Linked DNA regions of Ovis aries. The protein of the gene in region 1 interacts with the protein of each later gene in a biochemical or structural test. Links are inferred from orthologs where the notes say so. Each region holds a gene or a part of one and is shown on either strand. Other genes may lie near its edges.

Region 1 (8,129 bases):
CTCTATTTTTCTCATCCTAAAGTAGTAAAAGTAACACTTTTTCCTTAGAGAACTTTTAAAAGAAAAATACCACTTGGAAAAATTTAGAAGTAATTTTGGGGTCACATTTGTGGGTTCTTTCCCAATTTTATTCACATATATGCATATATAATGTATGCATATACATATGTAGAATATATCAATTTGAATATATTGATTTATATTGCATGCAAGATAGAGGAGAGGGGTGGGAATGGAAAGGCCTTCAGAAGTTTTCTTTTACTTTCAATTATACAATATCTAAGCAATAAGCCCACATACATATATTTGTATTATATGATATGTAACTATATCTATTATTTTTATAATGTGTGCCCCAAAGTATTTTTATATAGCCAAATATTTGTATTATGATATGTAAATGTTTATAACATATAACGATATAAACATAAAAATATTTTTCTTGTCTCATTTACTGCAATCCTCTCTAGAAATTGCTATTATCGTCTTCACTTTATTACCATGAAAAATCAGTTCAGAAATAAACTAGTGAGAGGTATCAGGCCCAGATTAGAGCATCTCAAGAGGCTTAGTGACAGACCCTGCAAAGATTTAGATTTTATTCTAATTGCAGTTGGAAGCCAGTGAAGAAATTTAATAAAGACACATAATCAAAATATTTTTAAAGATTATGAATTACTTAAAATTTTAAAAGACTAAGTGAAGTGAAGTGAAAGTCACTCAGTCATGTCTAACTCTTTGTGAACCCATGGACTATACAGTCTTTAGAATTCTTAAAGAAACCCCCCAAAGAAACAACAAACAAAAATTCTTAACAAATCCACTAAAGCAGAGAGAAGATCAGAACCTTACAACCAAGCTGGTATGCGCTGGAGCCTGGATTTAAACCTCAGCACCTCATCCCAGAGTCCCGAATTAGCACTGCCTGTTACACCACAATTAAATTGCAAATAAATCTCATCTAATCACAAACAATCCTTCTAACAATATTCTAGCAGCATCTTAGCTCTCTCAGTCTAATGAAAAACTACCTCAAAGCTGGAGAAAATAAACCCAAAATTTGTATTCCTCTTCTGAGACAAAAATATGTGTCTCATTCACAGCTTAAGAGTACTGGAAAGTTAGTCTCAGGCCTGAAAGCCCTAGGTAATAGGATGGCCATTCCCTCCAGTCCAGGAGGATCACTCCGAATTGGGGTTCCCATTCCGAATCAGGATTCCCACTCCAAATTGGGATTCACCCAGAACCTGCCAGAGACCCACACAAGCACTGTTCACTGCAGGGCCCCAGCCAGCACTATCACACAGCCCAGAAAAGGTATCCACATTCCAGCCAAATTAAAAACCTACCAAACTGAACGAAGGTATAACTTCACCTGTAAATGCTTAATCTCACACTTCCAAACCAATGCTGGAATGAAATTCATAATTCCACCTATGAATGGTTAACTCCACAAATACTGATTATCAATCTATTGCCATTATATTACTCCCTGTACTGTTCTTTACCCTTTTAATCCCCCCACCCCCATCCCGCAAAGATAAATAAATAAACAATTGAGTGTTTAGCACTGTGTGTGTGTGTTTCTATGTGTGTCTGTTTAGGTGTGTGTGTGTTTATGTTGGTGGTCTGTGGGTCGACAGACGGGTAGCTACAGCAGCAAAGTCAGTTGAGATTTGAATTTTGGTTTCTATTCTTCGATAAGTCTGGCTGGCATAAGGGTGAGGCCTCTGTAAAGATGAATATATTTGGAGTATTCCCCCTCTAAAACTCAGGAATGCATCATCTACCAAAGCTGGAGGGGCACGGACATCTGGGATCTCTGAACCCTCACCACGGCCTTCAGAGGCACGGCTAACTCTCCCAGTTTCTTCATCTACACTCAAATACTAGGATTACCCTATGGGCCCTTGAACCTGCCAGATCCCATTCTCAGTAGCCTAGAGAGTTCTAGATTCAAAGGCCTTCCTCTCCAAAGTCCCATCAGATCTTACCAGAGGCGAATCCTGGAACCTTCACAGCAGCAGCCACTTCACGGGCCTCTTCTCTCAGTACATCTAAGACAGGAATTAGAGTCAAATGAAGAACCAACAACGTAGCTCGCTTACTTCCTGTTTTCAAAACTCCTGAGTCACCATAGGCTGAGTGAGGCAGGCCAGCCTCCAGGCAGCACCCGCATCCTCATCTCCAAGAAGGAGCCCGTGGAATAAGAGGTAGGTGCTGGATGGGGACGCTGGCCATCTGAGACTTGCCTCTGGCTATGTGACTTTGGGCAGGTCATTTTCTCTTCGGGGCTTCTGTACCACATTCCAAAAGGAAAAAGGAACTGAATGATAGCTAAGAACCCTTTCTTTTCCTTTTCAGAAATATACAGATTTTTATGGGTTCATTATTAAGACTTCAATGGTTTCCTTCAATAATACTCATTGAGCACTCCTGAGTGGTCTTGAGTTCTGGAACTATGGGCCCTCACTATGGTTCAGAGGGTCTACTGACCCCCACAGAAATTCTCATGGTTTCCCCCACCTACATTCATATACAAGATCTCACCCTCAGCAGTCTAGGTCTAGAAAACTCTAGAATCATATTGTTTCCTCCCAAAAGGCCCAGCCAAACTCACCAAAGGAAAAATAAAATCCCAGGGCCCTCACCATGGACTGGGACCTGGAGATAAAACAGAGAACAAAACTCACTTTAGCCCTGCCTTTTGGCTCTCATCAGTTGTTTTCTGATGATTAAAGTAGAGGAAAAAAAAAAAAAAAAACCTCTCTTCTTTGAAACTACATGTTCTCTTTCCCCAAATGGAGTATTAGCTTTCAGAGGGCAAATTTCACAGCCGAGAGGATTAACAAGATAGCTGAAAATGCCCCTCCACCTGCAGAGAGCTAGGTAAGGGTTCTGTGTTCCTTTTGTGCCCTTAACTTCCCTTGACTCTGCCCTGAGAACTCCGAGTGAGAAGGCAGCCACAGAATGAAAACCTGTTAGTGGCTAAATCCTATCCCAGGAAGTGCCCCCTTGCTCTTTTCTTGCAGCCTCCTAAATACATCCACCCAATATCTGTCCTGCTGTTTTATGGCTGGTTCCTATCCTAGGCTGTGATCTTCACAAAGGCAGGGACCACATCTTTCATGTCCATGTTTCCAGTTTGTGCCACAGGAGTAGAAATACCTCGAATATACAAAGGTCTCCTGCAGATCAACAAGGAAAAGAAACCCTGACGAAAGACAATGGATCTGACTATAGAGTTCCTTGACAGAGATACTCAGATGGCCAAAGTGTGCGAATGATACTCAAATTCATGACTAAGCTGGGGAATACAACGCAGGTATGAGCTACCTACTTTGTACCTATCAGAATGGCAAAGGTTTGCAAGCTGGAGCCAGCCAAGTTCTTGGTGGGCCAGTTCTTCTATAGCCCTTATATAAGTTGTAGAGACTGTCCGTCATGGAATAATAAGCAGCGGTTACAAAGTGGGAGCAGGCAAAACACATAGAACTTAAAGTACAGAGTGCTTACTTGCAAAAAATAAAAAATAAAAAGTCAAAAACAGAACAAGCAAATTACAATATGAATACTAATACATAACATGTAATAATAATTGCTAACACTTACTGGGTACAGAGCAACACCAGTCACTAAGTGGCTAAAGCTGTTATTATCAAATAAATCCTCACAGCTACCTGTTGAGGGAGTGTTAATCCCACTAATGATGAGGAAACAGAGGTACAGAGAAATTATTTTCTTGCTCTGGTCACAGAGTTTAAGACACAGTGTACACACACAAAACAATGGTACATTTCACAAAGATACAGAACAATTAAGGATATGTATCATAAGATGCGGAGGGTTGTCTTTGGGAGCCGGCTTCTCGGGTGGCTCAGTGGAAAAGAATCCAAGTGCCAATGCAGGAAAAGCAGTTTCGATCCCTGGATTGCAAAGATCCCCGGGAGACAGGAGTGGCAACCCATTCCAATATGTTTGCCTGGAAAATCCCATGGGCAGAGAAGCCTGGCGGGTACAGATTCTAGGGTTGCAAAGAGTCAGACATGACTGAGCGACTAGCAAACACACACACTTTGGGAGCCAGCGAGGAGGATAGGAGATAGGTTGGGGAGTGGGGAGATCCAAGAAAATGGATAAAGCAGGGCAGGGTCGGGGGGCCCATGGGTCCCCAAGACCAAGGGTTTATAGGGAATCGGGATCTGATTGAGTGATCAACTCAACCCTCTGCCCCAGGACAAGTGGTATAGAAAATAAACATAAAAAGGTAAATAAAGTCTTCTGGGAAATCTAAAGTAAACCAGCAGGAGACAGTGTACCTATACTCGAGGCAGCAGAGGAACTGGCGCGTCCTCAGATTAAAAAGTAGCAAAGCCAGGGGCTGTGGTTCAGATAGGAACCCACTCAGAACCTGGCACTCTGGCAGGACTGGGAGGTGACTTCCCCGGGAAGTCCTCGAGTGAGAAAGGCGGCATCCAGAAGCCAACTGGGCACCAGGCACTCACCTGCTCCACACAGTCCTGGCAACATCCCAGCCACCAAACTCTCGACGACAAGACCCCACACTGCCTAACTTCACACTTCGTATTACTGAGGCTCGTTCTTAAAACCCAGCTGGAGATAAATCCCTGGAAATGAGGCAAGCGGGAGGGGGAGACAGGAGGTGGGGTTGGAAACGCCTCCAGGAAGAAGTTTACTTTTACTTTCGATGCCTCCACCAGGCTTTTATGCCTGCCCCTGGAAGACTCACTTCCTGGTTCTCTCCTCTCTACGTTCAGAATTTGCTACCAAATTCCGCAGGGCTTTAAAAAATCTTGAGATAAAAGAAAGAGAACCTGTGAAACCATTGCCTTCCAGCAGAAGGGCAAACTCTGGTCTTCAGGAAGAGAGAAAGAAAATTCCTGAAGAGAGAGAACTAGAAAATAAACTTGATTTGGAAAGCTGGAAAACTGAGGTGACTCACTTGAACAGAAAATGTTTCTTATTTAAAGGAACCGAAGCCCAATTTCCCTACATTCAGAAGTGACCACAGACATGCAACTAAACTGCATGTCAACATGCAAACTAAAAACCAGGAAGCTGGACGTGTTTTATTGGAAAGCATTTTACTCACTGCATTTAGTGTTTATCAGCTCTCTAATTTTTAAAGAGACTTGAGACTGCCTGTGGCCAGTAAAATGTCATTCTCGCTTGAAAGGGGTCTGCAGAGAAAAATGCTTCCTCTGTTCTGTGGCCTGAATCTTAGCACTGCAGCCGTGGACAAGCTCCCCAGATCATCTGGCAAGAACTCTTCCTGGGTCCAAACAGATCTCTAGCTGAGTTGTGAGGAAATTCAGCACCAAAAGGGGGTGAGGTCCTGCCCAGCCCTAAGCAGGGGTAACCATCCTTGTCCAGTGCTGAGCCCCTGGTGGGGAGGGGAGTGTTGGGGGGAGGGGACAGTGATGTGAAGACCTCTCCTCTGGGAGTCTGAACCTCCCCAGCTTTTCTTCATCCTCCACCCTCTCCCCACCCTCTGCCTCTGTTAACTGTTTGAATTTTTTAAAGAGTTTTCTGCCTTTTTGTTTTCACATCTTCTAGATTTTAAAACTACGACACCAATAATAATGCAATATCTGTACGTTGCACCTTTACATCAATTATTTCTCATTCTCCCAACAATGTAGAGGATCCCGCATGTCATGGAGGAGGAAGCGGAGGCTCAAATGAATATATGAATTCGAACTCAGTCCAGCTGGATCCAAAACAAGGATTTTTCCACCATAACACACTATTCCCTCCCCCAAAAGTTAGGATTTGAAATGAACCATGTGGATGGAAGAGTGCTAAATTTAAACTCACATGATGACCTATGTGCAGAGGTCAGAAGGTCACCTAAGAAAAAGGAGGCGGCCTACAGGCACCAGCTAACAGCATAAAAATTCTGTGTGTGCCACATGTATAACCACCCAAACTGGTTCATTTCACTTTCTGAGTAATTCGCAGAAGTGGATGCTATTTTTGCTCTCATTTGAGCAAGGAAGCTGAGGTTTGGAGAGGTGAAAGACTTAGACAAATATCTTCAGCTAGTGAGTGGCAGGATGAAGTTTTTGTGCCTCTCTAAAACCCTGAAAGGTTAATCAGTGTCTGAACATTAGTACACACCCATGGCTCTCAACTTGATTGATCTGAGGGTTAACTGATTAGGTTTCTAAATTGCCAGTCTTCAGGCCCCAGCTCTGAAATTGCTATCTGAGCAGAATTACAGGAGATAAAACAGATTGAGCACTTAACGGAATGCCTGGACCTCCCACAGTTCTTGGTAAGTAATCAGTACCACTGTTACATAAGCTCACATCTGTACAATGGCTATGAATTACTAGACATATAGTGCAGTTGAGGAAGCTAAGTTCAGTGTCGATCAACTGACAAACTGCATGGCCAGCACATGATCCCAAGATTGTCGCACTTGAGCGTTTACCCCCGTCCCCCAATCCCTGGCTTGGAGGAAATGGATGAGCCACCACAGGCATCTACGGAGCAGTACTGAAGATGAGTGGGGAGGTTCAGGGCTTCAGCCTGTCATTTGCAAGGCACTGATCCTGTGCTCTCTTAGTCTTAAATCTGTTTTTAAAAGGAAAACCTATAAGGACTTCCCTTGCAGTCCCGTGGATAAGACTTCCTGCTTCGAATGTAGGAGGCACAGCTTTGATCCATGTCAGAGAACTTAAGATCCCACATACCTTGGAACATGGTCAGAAAAACTAAAATAAAATATTTTCTTTAATGAATAAAAGAGGACAAATAATTAACAAGTAAATTGTAACCCTCAAGTTGGTTAAATTCCTTTTGTGATTTACTTGCTCTAACCAGGTTCTTAAAACTCAACATTCAGAAAATTAAGATCATGGCATCTGGTCCCATCACTTCATGGCAAATAGATGGGGAAAGAGTGAGAGACTTTATTTGGGGGGGCTCCAAAATCACTGCAGATGGTGACTGCAGCTGTGAAATTAAAAGACGCTTACTCCTTGGAAGAAAAGCTATGACCAATCTAGATAGCATATTCCAAACCAGAGACATTACTTTGCCAACAAACGTCTGTCTAGTCAGAGCTAAGGCTTTTCCAGTGGTCATGTATGGATGTGAGAGATGGACTATAAAGAAAGCTGAGCGCAGAAGAATTGATGCTTTTGAACTGTGGTGTTGGAGAAGACTCTTGAGAGTCCCTTGGACTGCAAGGAGATCCAATCAGTCCATCCTAAAGGAAATCAGTCCTGAATATTCATTGGAAGGACCGATGCTGAAGCTGAAACTCCAATACTCTGGCCACTTAATGTGAAGAACAGACTCATCGGAAAAGACCCTGATGCTGAGAAAGATTGAAGGTGGGAGAAGGGGACAACAGAGGATGAGATGGTTGGATGGCACCATCGACTCCATGGACATGAGTTTGAGTAAGCTCCAAGAGTTGGTGATGGACAGGGAAGCCTGGTGTGCTGTAGTCCATGGGGTCACAAAGAGTTGGACATGGCTGAGTGACTGAGAGACTGAGCTGAATTCAACCAGTTTTCTTGTTTCCACCTTGAGCTATGTGTCTGCGTGATTTTAACATCAAAATGAACAGTGTACTTGGTTGTTATTCCTGAGGAAGCTGGAAAGGCTGGATGTGTTGCAGTTCAGCATGACATGGCGGAGCTGTTCCCTGCCCAGGACAGGCAGAGGACCGCCTAGTTTGACTTAAAAGCCAAGAGGTTTCCACTTTCCTGAATCACAGCTCCTATTGATGGCCTGCTCCAGAGACTTCTGGCTACTAACCAGCAAAAAACAGACTTGAACCTGAAAGTTTCTGTAAGAAAGCTAGGAATGACTAACCCTCCTGTTCACCAACTGCAGTACACTGATCTGGACTAACCTCAGGACATTAGTCAAGGACAAATACTGACAGTGAAACAAAAATCCCCTGAACAAGCATCTTCTGTGGTCGGTTACTTCTCTATTGAGTTATGTACAACTGATCCACAGGCCAGGTGGCTGCAGGCCAGGTAGTCTGCTGTGTGGATTCAACAGGGCCCCTCCTGCCCCTTTCTCAAGTTGGCCTTGGCTCTGGCCCTAGAGTCTTGAAGAGAGTGGTGGAGGGAAAAAAAGATTGC
Region 2 (8,066 bases), on another chromosome or scaffold:
ACAGGGGGAGCACAAACACCTGAACAGTGAACAACCTCTGCTCTAAAAAACCATTACTGGCCACTCATATATATATATATATATATATATACTCACATCTGTGTGTTTACAGGCTAGAAATGGAACGATCCCATACCTACTACTTTTCTCCCTCAACCCTGCTATCTCTTTTTTCTCAATTGAAGTACACTGATTTGTAACATTATATAAGTCCATTACTTCTATTTCTGTATCCCCTACAACGTGCTTTAAAAAAAATATGGAATGCTTCATGAGTTTGTTTGCCATCCTTATGCAGGGGACATGCTAATCATCTGTCTCATTTCAATTTTAGGATATGTGCTGCTGAAATGAACATCTGAGACATCTTTTTAAATCATTATGTAAAGATCTACCTAAAGAGTGCTCTTAATGGATCCCCATGGGAGAGGGGCAATGTAAGGCTACTATCTGGTTCTTAATTTCTGGTATGAGACTGCTTGTTTTTTAGGCTGATTTTACATCATAAAAACACACCTCCACTTACTGGTATCTTTGTGTTACATCCGTGGGCTTCCCAAGTGGCTCAACAGTAAGGAATCTGCCTGCCAATGCAGGAGACACAGGAAATGTATGTTCGATTCCTGGGTTGCAAAGATCCTCTGGAGGAGGAAATGGCAACCCACTCCAGTATTCTTGCCTGGAAAATCCCATGGACAGAGGAGCCTGGCACACTACAGTCCACAGGGTCGCAAAGAGTCAAACCGAACTGAGTGACTCAGCATACACACATGTGGGTTCCTGACCCCCAAAATTCCCATTTGGGCACCTTAACTCTCAACCAGATGATACTAGGAAGTAGGGCCTTTGGAAGATGAGCACAAAGCCCTCATGAGTGGGTTTAGTGCCGTTATAAAATAGACTCCAGAGGGCTCCCTTGTCCCTTCCTCCATGTGAGGACACGGCCAACACAGAAAATGACTGTGGAAACATAACACAGACTGTTAAAATAGTTACCTGTGAGACATGGGTTTATGGGAACCTTTAACTTTGTAAGTTAAATTCACAAATTTCTAAAGCTGTGCTATTTTTGTGATTTAAACAAAAAACATGTTTTCCCACACTGTCTTCTGCAGCCAGAGACCCCAGCACCTCAAGGTCCACCTTGACTAATGGCAAAGAGCCAACCAGGGATCGGGGCATTGGGCCAAACTAGCTCAAGTCATACAGCAGAGGGCTACCCTCTCTATCTCAGGCCTCCAGCCCACGGCAGTTGACCCTGAACTCTCATTAAGCCCACTCCCCCAGTGAGATGTGCCCTAGATCCCTTCCCAGGGATGGCTAGGGGCCAGCCAGGGCTGCAGCTTCTAGCTAGTTATGCTATGTCGCTAGCATTTGCTACTAGCTAACAACTTACTCTGACTCATTGGAAAAGACACTGATGCTGGGAGGGACTGGGGGCAGGAGGAGAAGGGGATGACAGAGGATGAGATGGCTGGATGGCATCACCGACTCAATGGACATGAGTTTGAGTAAACTCCGGGAGTTGGTGATGGACAGGGAGGCCTGGTGTGCTGCGATTCATGTCGCAAAGAGTCGGACACGACTGAGTGACTGAACTGAACAACTTATTTAGGCAGACCTCTACAGATTACATTAGGATACGAAGCAGCCTTTTATCATAGCAGGATGTCGCTCTAGAACATCCAGGCAGTTCCCTGACTCCTCAAAAAGAAAAACGGCACTTTTGCCAACTACCACCTTCTGCAAAGGGCCTCTCCCACCCAATCTGCCATACCAGGAGAATTCGTGGAATCTGGTGTGCAGAAGGGCAAAGCTCTAAGTGAACACCCCCCAGCATGGTCCCTCCCCACCCCAACTCTTACCCCCAGCCCACACCTAAAAGCAAAAGCACACACACCCAGTTCATAAACCCTGCAGCCTACTGAGACCAAGGTCAGGACAGGTCCATTAGCCTCTCTTGGTTTCAGCTCTGGAAGGACCCAAGGAGCTGCCTGAGACACAAGATGGTCAGCACCAGGGGCATAAAGGCTGCTGGTCAAAGCAAAGACCCTGCCAGCAGTCAGTAGCAGGGATGCTGACGTCTTTGTGGATGAAGGGAGCTTTTCTTCCCCCAAGAGAAAGACAGGCGCACTAAATGGTCTGTCTCTGAGAAGTCAAAGCTGTACTCTAATCATGGAACATGGCACATGGCACAGGGCTTTGTAGCAGAGGCCATGGCAAAAGGTCTAAGTCAGATAGCTACCATCAGCCACAACTCACTCACCAATGACCAGTAGCACAAGGATGACAATGAGAACCACAAAGAAGGTGTTGCCATATGTCACTACCAACTCCACAAGGCGGGACTTGAAAATCTTCTGCCATCTGTGAAAAAGACAAAAAGGCTAAGGTCAGTAGAGTAAGAACACACACCTGGGATCCAGGGCCCTGAAAACAGATACAGTTTTGCACTCTTCTTCAAAGACTGAATATCTCATACAGATTCAGCCTCAGCTGCTTGCAATTTTCCAACTTATGACATCTGTTCAACAGTGTTAAAAAGAAAAAAAAAAAGACACCTGTCCAAGTATAGAAATTTCTAGAAAAAGTCTTAAACACTGGTAGGCTCTGGGGAGAGAAATGCGAAACTTAGCGTCCCCTCTGTAGTATCAAAATGCTTGCCAAATCCACATTATTTCTTTAAACTGTTTTCCCATGTGCCCAATCTTGGCTCATCTAGACTCCCACCACCCCCGATTACCATGAAGCAGACCCCAGACCTCCCTACCTTTCCCTCCATAAATACTTCAGCATACAGCTCCGTCAAAGAAGACCCTTCAGAAATGGCTACCAATCGCAATGCCACCGTCAAGCCTCAAAAATATCAAGAAAAATCTCTCATCATCAGAGCCAGAACTCCAAAGTCCAACTGAGGCAATTATTTTTAACAATTGGTCTGTTTGAATCCTGACAAGGTTCTGATTTTGCATTCTGTTAATAAGTACCTTCAGTTCAGTCGCTCAGTCGTGTCCGACTCTTTGCGACCCCATGAATCACAGCACACCAGGCCTTATTCTACGAACTCCCCCCTCCCTTGCTCTCTGATTTCTCCCCTAATTCACTGTTGCAGAAACCAGGCTGTTTGTCCTGCAAAGCTTTCCATGTAGCAGCTCCAAGTGGGCCACTGTCTCTGCATTTCCTGTGAACTGTATGAGGTGATTCAGATCTAGCTTTTGTAAAGAACATTCCTTAAGCAGTGCTGTACACTTTCTATCACAACAGCAGCCTGTGATTTTTCATTAAAAAGAAGCTTCTATGAAAACATCTGTAAGTCTTATTTGTAATGTTCTAACTTAAGATCAGATGTGTTCCTATAGTATATGTAATCAAGATGAATTTCAAAATAACTTTTCAGAAGTCCTCTGTTCACTGAAAAGAAACATGGCTTCGGCCTTCCTAGGCTGAGTAATGCTCATGAGGCCACTTCGCAACCCCAGCGAGACTGGTTAGGAGGACAGAAGTCACCAAATCAACGGTAACATGACCCAGAGGCAAGTCTTGCAGATCTCACAATGCCATCTCCTAAACACCCGGAGGGCATCGTTTCCAGAATGGTCACTTGGTCTTGTCCCCTCTGGCACACTCTGAAGACCAGAAGACAGGGTGCAGGGGAAAGGACCTAGTCAAGATGTGACTGAGCACAACTGTGGGCCTAGCTGGCGATAATAAACACAGTCCTTGCCACCCCCATCCCAGACAGGTTCTACCTGTTTCCGGCTGGCTTCAACTCTAAGGCCCCCCAACTCTGCAGGCACAAGCTACCGAGACTCTTCCTGGCTTGCCTGCCCATACCTTTTGGGAGAAATGAAGGGAATGCAGAGCAGCAGCACAGCGAAGACCTCTGCATAGAGGAAGGTGGCGACTGCGGTCCACTGCAGACTCATCGTGTTGCTAGCAGCTTTCCACCGGGATGATGTGAGCCTGTTCCTGATGGAGCACAGAACAAACAGGCGTCGTGACAGCTCGGCAGCCACCAGCCCTAGACCTCAGAGCATTCCCAGCCCTCGAGCCCCGCAGCCTGGCTGCCAATACCTCCAGAGACACTTTTCCAAACAATTCCTCCCCGTGGAGTCCGGGAGACTCCGCCTGCGGAACCCTGGCAGCAGTGGGTGGGAATCGGCAGTTCAAGCTACCGCCCACCACACCGCAGCCTCGGTCCTAGTAATGCCTTTGCGCTTCCTCCCAACCTGCGATGCCTCTGGGCCCTTCCACCCGGGCCGACAGAGGAGTAGCGAGCAGCTCCTCCCAGGGCAGGAGCGGAACGCAAAAGCCTCCCAACCACCGCCCCTTCGGCTCAGCTTTCAGTATCTCCGAGAGCCCCCGAGAGCGACTCCTAGAGGACGAGAGTTGGAGCCAAGGGCAAGAGCGGGTCTCAACCCAGCACCTCACGGCCCCGTCCAGAGAAAGTTCTAGAAGACTGTCTCCTCCAAAGCCGGAGAAACCCCTCCCGGCCTCCCAGGTCGGTCGCGGCGCCTACCCGGCTCCAGAAGACCCCTCGACGAGGCCCCGACCCGGCACGCCCTCTCAAGCCCCACCCCGCCGGCTCCTCCGGAGGGACTTCGACGTCGCCCCCTACCCTGGAGATGGCTCCACCCGCCGCCAGCCTGACTTCCCTCCGCCCGGTCCCGCCCCCGCACTCTAGCCTCGGCCCTGGCCCCGCGCACCGGGCCTCCCCGCGCCCCCTCGTCGAGGAGCCGGGGGACCTCGGCGGCCCGGAAGCCCAGCGCGGCGCGCGAGTCCGCTCACCGAGTTCTCCAGAGTCACCACGCACGCCCAGTCGTCGCCAAACTCTCCCACCACCAGCCCGGCCCCGCCCCTTCCCCGCGGCCGGAACCGGAAGCGCCCGGCCAGTCCCGGCCCGCCCCCAACCGCCACAAGGCCCCGGAGGCCCCGCCCCCGAACCGAGGCTCCCGACGTCTGGGACTGGGGAAGGAGCCACGCCTCGCGCGCGCGCGCGGAGAGACGGGTCCCCGGCCTTGGCGGGAAGGCGAGGTGCCGCTTCTCTAGCCCGCGCGGTCCTCCGGCGTCTCTGTGGTCCGGGGAGGGGGCGGGGCCCCACCGTGGGGCGAGAACGGGGTGGGGCGGCCCGTGCCTGGGCTCCGCCTCCCGCCCCTCCTCCGCCTCCTCCCCCTCCCCCGACTCGCCCCTGGGGAGGGGTGGGTGGGTAGGTGGGGATTCTGGGCGGGTGGCGGAGTCACAGTCGCTTCAGCCGGGCTGTGGAGCGGACGGACGCGGCCGGTATCCCAGGGAGGGGCGCTACCAGGGGAGGAGGAGTAGGAGGTGGAGAGAAAAAGACGCCCTCGGCCGGAGACCTCTAGAGGCTCTGACCCCAAGGGCCAAGGGACTGACAAGTTCCTCCACTTCGGCCGCCTGAAGAGGCCGTGACCCTGGAGGGCCCTGAGCCCACCCGCGCCAGGGGCCCCAGCGCCACCCGGGTGGCCTAAAGCGACAGTCTCAGGGACCACTGCGAGGTCTCCAGTTGCCTAGACAACGAGCCCGGGGTCAGAGCCACCACCCTTGCAGCCACCTGCCTCCTCTGCCGCCTCAGGCACCCGTCCCGGTCCCGTGAGTCCAGCCCAGGTGACATGACGGTGCTCTCTACCCCCAGAGCCTCGCGGGTGACCACGCTGAAGCGTACTGCCGTGGTCCTGGCCCTCATGGCCTATGGAGCCCACAAACTCTACCCTCTGGTGCGCCAGTGCCTGGCTCCGGCCAGGGGCCCTCAAGCGCCGGCGGTGGATGGGGAGCCCGCACCAGACGTCTCCGGTGCCCCCGTGGCCTCAGCGGCCAAGGCCGGTGTCAACCAGGTGTTCTTGCAGCGGCTCCTATGGCTCCTGCGGCTGCTATTCCCCAGGATCCTGTGCCGGGAGACGGGGCTGCTGGCGCTGCACTCGGCCGCCCTGGTGAGCCGGACTTTCCTGTCGGTGTACGTAGCCCGCCTGGACGGCCGGCTGGCCCGCTGCATCGTGCGCAAGGACCCTCAGGCCTTCAGCTGGCAGCTCGTGCAGTGGCTGCTCATCGCACTGCCTGCCACCTTCATCAACAGTGCCATCCGCTACCTGGAGGGCCAGTTGGCCCTGGCATTCCGCAGCCGGCTGGTGGCCCATGCCTACAGTCTCTACTTCTCCCAGCAGACCTACTACCGGGTCAGCAACATGGACGGGCGGCTTCGCAACCCAGACCAGTCCCTGACGGAGGACGTGGTGGCCTTCGCTGCCTCCGTGGCCCACCTCTACTCCAACCTGACCAAGCCGCTCCTGGACGTGGCTGTGACCACCTACACCCTGGTTCGAGCAGCCCGCTCCCGCGGGGCTGGCACAGCCTGGCCCTCGGCCATCGCTGGCCTCGTGGTCTTCCTCACGGCCAATGTGCTGCGAGCCTTCTCGCCCAAGTTCGGGGAGCTGGTGGCTGAGGAGGCGCGGCGCAAGGGAGAGCTGCGCTACATGCACTCCCGAGTGGTGGCCAACTCAGAGGAGATTGCCTTCTACGGGGGCCATGAGGTGGGGCTGCTCCTGGGGCCGGAAAGCGCGTGGCTGGGGGAGTCCGGGGCAGGAAGGCCTGGGGCTGCCTATGGCTGATGGCACAGGTGTGGGCTGGCCATGGGAGAGGGAGGCTGTGGACGACCAGGGCCGTGGGCAGCCCGGATCGGCACAGAAATGGAGAAGCAGGAAGGCTGGGTGGAGACTGTCCTGGGTCACTTCTGCTTCCTCTCCACCTCCCTTGTCCTGGCCTTAGGGCTGTGGACCCTAGTGATGGGAGACCCAAGAGCTCCCAGCCTGCCCCCTGCCTGCAGCCAACAGAGAAGGGGCTCCTGCCATCTGGGGGCAGGGATGACAGGATGCAGCCTGCTGTCTGGCCCCCTCCTATTCCCCCAGGCCCTTTGAAGCCCGGCGTCCGGCCGGGCAAGTGGGCATTATGGGCATGACTCAGCCCAAGCGGAGGTTAACAAGCAGCAGTGCTCGGTGTGTCGATCGGATCTCAGCGCTCCAGATCAAGCTTCTCCCCCCTCCGGAGCCCAAAGGCTGGCCTGGCTGCGGGCTTGGCTGCCTCCCCGAGGCCCCAGCCAGGGGTGCCGGGGCCCAAGCCGCCACTGCAGCAGGACGCACTTCCTGCCCTCCCAGCGGCCACCTTGCCCCCAGTGTGGCCGCCCTTCCGCCCAGGTCCCAGCCGTGCAGCTCCCCAGCAGGCTGGGTCAGCGGCCAGCCGGCTAGGGCCAGGAGCCGGGGCCTGGGAGAGGTTACTCCAGGCCAGTGCTCCGGCCCCTCCCCTCCTCCTGCCTGGGTTGCAGCTGCCTCCGGCTAGGTTCTCTGCGACTCTGGTTTCGGTTCCCCAGTGCTTCTGGGGGAGGGGTACAATGGCATCCAGCTCCTGAAGGCCCATGGATCCTCCCTAGGTCAGATGGCCTTGTGTCCTCGACCTTGTCTCATTGGCAGCCCATCTTATCAGGCAGGGAGGCAGGCTTGTCCCTGATTTTTTTTTTTTTTTAAGACTTATCCCTGAGCAGATAGGGGCATTCCCGGCTGGGCTCCAGATAAGGAGAAAAAGGGCCGGATCTGCAGCCGCAACCCCCGTCCTCCTCCCCTGTGCTCCAGGGACGCAGGGTCTTGGCAGGCAGCCGTGGCCCTGGGTGAGGCACTTGGCACATTCCCCGCAGCTACATTGTCAGCCCCAGCTGGCACTCTTGCCAGCTCCCAGCACGAGCCTGGATCGCCAGGGCGCTCAGAGTAGACGTGCTCACTTCAGGAACGGCAGAGCGATGCCCAAGACCTAGCTGGGGACAGGGGAGGTGGGAAGAAGGGAGAATCACTAGCTCTTTGAAGGATTTCCTCTGGGTTAGTTTCAGGAAATAGCATGTACTTGGGGCAGATTCACCAGCTGGGGTGGGAGGGGCCTGATGTACGTCCCCAACCTGTCTGTCAAGGCCTCGGGCAAAGGGCTGTGTGATGTGATGGGCCTTCATGGGTGGCTTGATTGCCCTCACTGTGCGGGCACGTGGCTCAGCCCAGTCCCATTGGCTGATGTCC
Region 3 (7,329 bases), on another chromosome or scaffold:
CGGCTTTTGGATCTGTTACAGGCCCAGCCCATTGGGAGGTAAGAGAATACTTCTTCAGAACGTAAGGGCCTTTCTTACTTCATTCTCCTTCCTTGGTTCTACCAGCTAAAAGGTTTTCTTTCTCCTTCCCACCTAATGAGAAAATTCATTTCCCCAGATTGTTGCCTCTGAGAGTAGTAAATCATTCACAGGCAATTATCAGGATGGTCACAATGGGTAGATTGGGCTGTAATGTCCATGGCTATCACTTCCCTACCAGCTGCTACATGTACTTGAGTGAACAGCCATCTCCTCCATCCCTAGGTGTTGTTGCGGGCCCGTGCCATTGAAACCCAGTGCTACGTAGTGGCGGCAGCACAGTGTGGACGCCACCATGAGAAGAGAGCAAGTTATGGACATAGCATGGTGGTAGATCCCTGGGGAACAGTGGTGGCCCGCTGCTCCGAAGGACCAGGCCTTTGCCTTGCCCGAATTGACCTCAACTATCTGCAGCAGTTACGCAAACAACTGCCTGTGTTCCAGCACCGCAGGCCTGACCTCTATGGCAATCTGGGTCACCCACTGTCTTAAGACTTTTGATTTCTGTCCACTGAGACCTCCATCGTGAGCTGGTGGCGTTGTGACTTGCAGGCAGGACCCAGGCGCAGCTCCCCTCACTTGGAGAACCTTGTCTCTTAATGGAACACAGGCTCAGCTTCTTGGAAAAGAAGAAACTTTCACCTGAGCTCAGATTTCAGTTTCAGAAAGGTGGAATTTAATATAGTCACTGTTTATTTCATGAAAACTGAAGTTATGCTGAGGGCTGAGCAGCACTGGCATTGAAAAATATATATATAATCATCATAAAGTCTGTGTCTGAATATCTCTTTTGGGAACTGAAAGGGGAGGTGGTATTGTACCAGCTGGACTAGGCTCCAGTTCTAGGCCTCCTGGCTTATTCAACATGCCTCCCTACCTAAAGAAAAGTGCAACACTCAGTGCATGTCCCAGCCCCATGCTCCCAAGCTTGGGAGTGGGAGGGTAGAGGATGGGGAAAGAAAAAGAAGAAAGGCATTGCTACCGCATCACTTCATTCTCACCTATGATGGCCTTTGCCCAAGCCAGAAGAAAGCAAAAGGGGAAAGGGCTGCAGGGTACATTATTTATTTTCACTTGAACATGGAAAGAAAGTGTCACACTCCCCCTTCCCCTTTCCAGGGGGAGTGTATTTTAACCAGCAACCGCTTCTCCATCCACCCTGTGTGTGTGTGTGGGTACAGACACACCACAGTTGGGACTGACTAGGCTGACCTAGTCCTCTTACCTATTATTCCTTTGAAGAGGGTTTGACAGAGAGGGAAAAGGAAGGAGCCACACCAGGCAGAGGTTTCAAGCCATGGAATGGAGGAAACAAGGCAGAGAGGAGCAGCACCAGAGGCCAGGAGAGAGTGGAAAGGGCCACAGCTTCTTTTTTAAAAATTCTATAATTTGGGAGAGGGTGGTGATTAATTTCCAAAATACAGTTCAGAGTCCCACCTTCCACACAGCTCCCTACTGACAGCCCTTTGGTTTTTCAGACAAAGTTTAAGAGCCCTCATAAAGCCAGAAGTACTGATAACCCCTCAATGCACCCAAAAGCAGTGATCACTTCAATCCCTTACAAAGACTATAACCTATAGACTTTGCTTCTCCCTACACATTTGTCTTACGGCTCAGTGGCAAGGTGACTGTAGAGACACACATGTGGGGGTAAGTGGAAAAGGGGAACAAAGGGAAGCCAGGCACATGGGTGCAGGGAGGGGTGGGGGACACCACTTCCATTTTTGTCTTTTCCTTTAAAAAAAAAAAGGCAGGGGTGTGATCGGTTGGAAGGGTAGAGAACAAACCCCAGAACAGTATGTAAGCTCCAGAGGTGGGTGGTGAGAAGTCCCCAGAGAAGTGAGAAGGGGAAAAGGTCAGGGCAATGCTTGCAGCATCAAGTTCCTCAGGAGTTTCTGTCGGCCCAGCTCATAGTCCTCCTCGTCCACGTTCACCAGCAGCTTGATGGCTTCATGGCCCACAGCCTGCTTGAGGGAGTCTGTGATAAAGACACCTTTAAGTGCCTCTAGTAACGAGCCGTTGATGTAGTCGCGCCAGAATGCATCGAGGTAGGTGAGCTCAGAGAACTTGATGTCACAGATGATGGAGCCCAGGTCCCGGGACTTGAGGATGGTGTTGGCCTGGTTAAAGCGCTCAAACTGGCGCTCGAGTGGGTCCTGCTTGTTGGAGAAGACGTTGCCCTGCAGAGCGCTCTCGTGCTGGCAGTACTCAGCCCGGACCCGCAGCCTGATGTCTGTGGGGAAAGACGACGCACAGGAGAGACTGCGTGAGAGCTGAGCTTACGCCCAGGTTCTGAAAAGTTGAGAAGGATGGCAGAGGAACACAGCTGGGAACAGCACCTGACAGCTTCTCTACCTCTTCCCAGGACTCGCTCTTTTCTATGAAGCTCTGAAATCCTTGCCTCAATTCAAGAGGTTCCCTTAAATGGGACATGCCCAGGTCAGATAATTTCCATCACTCCCAACTAGCACCTTGATTCTAAGAGATATTTTCCTAATTAACAGAAGTTCACTTTAATATTCTATCATGACTTGAGTCATACTACAATAAGGATGTCATAACAGCATCCCTTTCATCTAGTTATTACTTAGAGTTGCCACAAAGAGTTACTCTGCCACAAAGACAGAGTTCTCCACCCAGAGACTGTAACATTCAACCTCACTGTGCAACAGCAATCAAAGTGAGCCTCGCTCTAAATAGCGTAAGCTGCCCATGTTCTGAGGCTTCCCAGGTGGCGCTGGGGGGAAAGAACCCACCTGCCACTGCAGGAGACACTAAGAGACAGGGATTGGGAAGATCCCCTGGAGAAGGAAATGGCAACCCACTCCAGTATTCTTGCCTGGAGAATCCCATGGACAGAGGAGCTTGCAAGGAGTCAGACGCGACTAAAGCAACTCAACATGCCCAGTATTCCAGCAGTTCTATTTCCCCTCCAGTGTACTCCACCTCTAGAACCCCTGAACTTCCTCACCGCATGTCTGCTTTTCCTTGGGATCTGGTGTCACTGACTTCCGGCGTTTCCGCTGGCTCCCAAGTGTGGCTCTCCCTCGAGCTGGCCGCTTGCTACACATCTGAGGGCCCGAAGTAGGGCAGCACACCACAGGATAGTGGGGAGGCACTGACCAGAGGGAAAAAGGGAGGCACAGCAGGGGAAAAGCAGAAATGGAGGCAATTCACTTGGAATGTGGAGGAATCATTCAGACTCAGCACTACAGCAATATCAATAATGGGACTTGAAAGGTAGACACAATATGGGGACCATTATAGGACCTAGATGAAGCATTAACACCTCATCTGATTGGGAAGGAGGGGCAGATACGGGAGGGACAGTGTCCTTTCATTTAGGCTGGCAAAAGATGGGTCCAGCGTCCTCTTTCTCGATTATGGAAATTAGGGAGAGTTAACATCTCACCTGTTTTAGGGGGGTGGGGAGGCCTCGGTTCTGGGTCGCTGAGGGCTCTGGGTGTCACATAGCGAACTGATGTCTCCTCCAGGTATTTGTCTACAAGATCAGGGCACACTGTAGGGGGAGAGGGACTCACTCAGGAAAAGATACACCCTTCCCTTCTCCTGGTCCAATCCTCCAATGCACCTCAAAAGGTTCTTCTCAGGACTTGCCAGAGTCAGTGCCTGCTTCTGCCTGGATGCCTGTGCTGCTGACTCAGGGCTGCCCACAGCTCTCCCCTGACCCCAGGGTCCCAGCCCCAAGTGCACCCTCACCAGCCCGTCTCCGCTTGAGAGTGACGTAGGGCAGCAGGTCATGGCGAGTGATGATGCGCAGCAGCTGCAGCACCTGGCGGAAGTTACTCTCATCACAGCGGCCCTGGCGCTCCAGCGCCAGTAGGAAGTCACGTCCATTTCGGATGAGGCCACGCTCGTGGTCATCAATGACGTCAACAAAGAGAAAGGAAAGAACGCGCACGTCTCTGTGTGTCAGGTGAGTGCCCACGATGTCAAACATGCGGTGCAGGCTGTACAGCCCGTGCTCCTGCTCACCGTGCTCTTCGGGCCACACCTGGCTTGCCCTCCGCTTTAGGCCCGCCATGCTGGGGGCTCAGGTACACACTGCTTTCCAGAATCCCTGCTCAGCAGCTGCAATCCCCACTATACTGTAAGGACAAGGAAAGAACCTGTGAACCACTCAATGTTAGGAACTAGTCTTAGCCGATCCTATATTCTCAGAGCCTAACACAATGCCTGGCGCTGTGTAGCGCTTAATAAGCATTTATTAACTTTTACAAAGTTGTTGATTTTTTTGGCTCACTGTGCAGCACATGGGATCTTACTTCCCTTGATCAGGGATCGAACCCGCATCCCTTGCATTGGAAGCATGGACCCTTAACCACTGGACTGCGAGGGAAGTGCCTATAAAATATTTATTAAAAAATAAAGCATAGAGCTCTCTATATTCAGCAGATGCTGCCCTAAGTCCAGATCTTACTAGAGAAAGATAGTCACATCCGCTAAGGAAGACTCACTAATTTGCAAGTTTAGTGCTACATATTCAGCAGACATTGTCCTGATTTTTCCTCTGGCCTCCAAAATACTGCTTTTGGTCCTGTGTGCTCAACCTGACAACGTCCCCAATCAATTCATCCCTTAAATGAAAGCAAAGTGAAGAGAAGTAGAAAATTCACTCTAAATTCTAACACAGAAGCTTTTTCAGATAAACTTAGGGGCTGACAGCAGGGAAACAAAGTCTGAACTAGTTTTAATTCTGCCCATATTGTCAACAAACTGTAGCTACGTGACCTTAAGTAAGTCACTTAACTTGAAAGCCTCAGTGTCCCCATCTTCAAAACAAGGAGGAAAAAAACTACTCCTCGGAGTTATTAAGAATCCAGTGAGAAAATGCACATGAAATCACCGTAAGACTTTTCTAACTGGTTAGGAGATTTCAAAGAGACAAGCATCCTTGGCCTCTACAGCCCAGACTCATTCCTCCACAGACCTATCCTCATTTCTCCTCCAACAAACCAAGTCCAGGAGAATCACTGCTGAGAAAGTTACTCAAATATCCACTGAAACTCATGGATTTAAATCGACAAACGTCACTAAGCTCCTACACTGAGCATTCTAGGAGTTCTCCTGCGCCACCTGTGCTCTCTGATGGTCACACACCATTTGGATCTATGCCGCTTTCTAACCTTTCCTCACGGTTGTCGTTTACCAATCCTCTATCAATGACCAAGCACAGTCCTACGTTTATTATGTGTTTTGGCATTTGATTCACAAATTTCCTCCATCATTGTGGGTAATGTCAGTGACCCAGCTAATAACCAATCCTCAAATCAAACAGCTTTCATCTCCTCTCCAGCCACTCATACTTACTATGCTACCAAGTACCACCCAATACTACTACACCCTCTGACCACAACCTCCAATCACCCAAACAAGTATAAATTCCTGTTGATACTACTTTCTATTTCTTAAATTTGCCTCACCTTTCCACCCCCTACTACCACCACGCTGGCTCAGGTCCCAATAATCTCTCACCTGGATTACTGCAGAAGCCTCTTCAAGGCTCTCCTTACAACCAATCTTAACCTGTCTAAACCCATCCCCTACATCCAGCTGAATTATCTAAAATGCACAACTGACCACATCACTTTTCATCTTAACACCTCTCCACAATTCTCTCCTTGAGTTTCCCAGGCAGTGCTAGTGGTAAAGAACCCACCTGCCAATGCAGGAGACATAAGAGACGTGGGTTTGCTCTCTGGATCAGGAAGATCCCCTGGAGGAGGGCACAGCAACCCACTCCAGTATTCTTGCCTGGAGAATCCCATGGACAGAGGAGCCTGGTGGGCTACAGTCCACAGGGTTACAAAGAGTCAGACATGACTGAAGTGAATTCGCATGCACAATCCTCTCCTTACCAATAAGAACACTCCAGATTCCTTACCCAACACACCAAACCATCCAAGATCAGGCCTTTGTCACTTTTTATTTCTCTAACATTAATCATTTGTCTACAGTTCACAAACATCACACAATTCACTTCTCTATAACTATCTTTAGACTATTCTCTTTGCCCGAATGGCCCCTCCCTTCTTTTCCATATGCCCCATTACACCTTTTTTCAGATGGCTAACTCCTACTCATCCTTTAAGAATCAGTTCAGGGACTTCCCTGGTGGTCCCATGGTTAAGAATCTGCCTTCCAAAGCTGGGGACACAGGTTCAATCCCTGGTGGAGAACCAAGATCCCACATGCCACAGGGCAAGTAAGCCCATGTGCCGCAACAGAGGATCCTGTGTGCCTCAGCTAAGACCCCATGCAGCCAAAAGTGAAATAAATACTAAAAAAATACTAATAAATAAATAGTAAAAAAAAAAAAAAATCAGTCCAGATGCTATCTTCAAATTCATTCTCCACACCCCTTCTTAGGTTTAAGTAGTCCTCTTCTGTGCTCTTATGGAACACTGTACATATATTTCCCTTAAACCATTTATCAGAGAGTACTAAAATTACCTGTACACCTATCATATCTTAAGCAACTCAATAGAGGGACTAGGTCATATTCATCTTTATATCTATAGTACCGAGCAACAGACGGGGGTTGGCATATACTAGGAGCAACCTGCTGTTGAACTGAACTGAACCTTCAAGAGACCACCACAAGCAATACCAATTAAGAATAAACTCACATAAGTCCAAGAGTGAGAGGACCCCATTAAGAGTACATGCAGCTCAGGTAACATGCATATTCTCTAGTGTTCCCCATACTGTAAAACTACCCCTACCATAGCAACCTACTCAACAACAATACAGGCTGTTCTGTCCATTTTATACTGCAAGAAACTGAGGCTATGTTAAAAGGAAGAATCAAATGATAAACTACTTCAGAAGAGTCAAGCAACTGGGGACTCAAAAAACTGAAGAGCAAATAGGACCTGATCTTCTCTTTTAATCCTGAAACGAACACAGAGACTCATACCCTTAAGAAAACAGGAGGTCCAACCTGGAATTACCTAGCCCCATAACATGGGTTCAGAATGTGGACAGGAAACATAGCCCGTATCTAGTTATGAGAGCCAGATATCCCACCCAAAGCATGGGAAACAACTGGGATTATAGCTACTCAACTACTGACTGGTTTTCTTCGTCTCTTCCTCTCGTTTCACCTGCTACAGTCACTGGCTACAAATAGAGGGGACTGAAGGAAAACAACTTCTTGCTCATAACAGCCACATGAGAAAACAGCCTCCTTAGAGCCCCTACAACTTCGCCTTGTTCCTATCCCACCTG

Evidence for each region.
Region 2: of the proteins of CASP8 (region 1) and BCAP31, one has a biochemical effect on the other in vitro, tested with the Homo sapiens proteins (2 studies listed by BioGRID, with this or other methods). The link is inferred for Ovis aries from reciprocal best matches to the Homo sapiens genes CASP8 and BCAP31.
Region 3: the proteins of CASP8 (region 1) and DEDD form a complex in vitro, tested with the Homo sapiens proteins (2 studies listed by BioGRID). The link is inferred for Ovis aries from reciprocal best matches to the Homo sapiens genes CASP8 and DEDD.

Annotation. Positions count from the first base shown.
Region 1 is NC_056055.1:203,613,639-203,621,767, reverse strand, and holds the start of CASP8 (caspase-8), read right to left. Parts: upstream 4,702-8,129; 5' UTR 4,506-4,701; exon of another isoform or gene 3,145-4,505; intron 2,665-3,144; exon of another isoform or gene 2,621-2,664; intron 2,214-2,620; exon of another isoform or gene 2,120-2,213; intron 2,058-2,119; exon of another isoform or gene 1,995-2,057; intron 1-1,994. UniProt on the Homo sapiens protein: Thiol protease that plays a key role in programmed cell death by acting as a molecular switch for apoptosis, necroptosis and pyroptosis, and is required to prevent tissue damage during embryonic development and adulthood.
Region 2 is NC_056080.1:80,542,656-80,550,721, reverse strand, and holds the start of BCAP31 (B-cell receptor-associated protein 31), read right to left. Parts: upstream 4,834-8,066; 5' UTR 4,619-4,833; exon of another isoform or gene 4,520-4,618; intron 4,319-4,519; exon of another isoform or gene 4,075-4,318; intron 3,970-4,074; 5' UTR 3,927-3,969; coding exon 3,835-3,926; intron 2,368-3,834; coding exon 2,267-2,367; intron 357-2,266; exon of another isoform or gene 254-356; intron 1-253. Other genes in the region: ABCD1 (ATP-binding cassette sub-family D member 1), read left to right, coding at 5,628-6,542. UniProt on the Homo sapiens protein: Functions as a chaperone protein. Is one of the most abundant endoplasmic reticulum (ER) proteins.
Region 3 is NC_056054.1:112,573,132-112,580,460, forward strand, and holds the end of DEDD (death effector domain-containing protein), read right to left. Parts: intron 4,188-7,329; 5' UTR 4,124-4,187; coding exon 3,799-4,123; intron 3,599-3,798; coding exon 3,491-3,598; intron 3,197-3,490; coding exon 3,050-3,196; intron 2,312-3,049; coding exon 1,935-2,311; 3' UTR 732-1,934; downstream 1-731. Other genes in the region: NIT1 (deaminated glutathione amidase), read left to right, coding at 1-38, 304-570. UniProt on the Homo sapiens protein: A scaffold protein that directs CASP3 to certain substrates and facilitates their ordered degradation during apoptosis. May also play a role in mediating CASP3 cleavage of KRT18. Regulates degradation of intermediate filaments during apoptosis.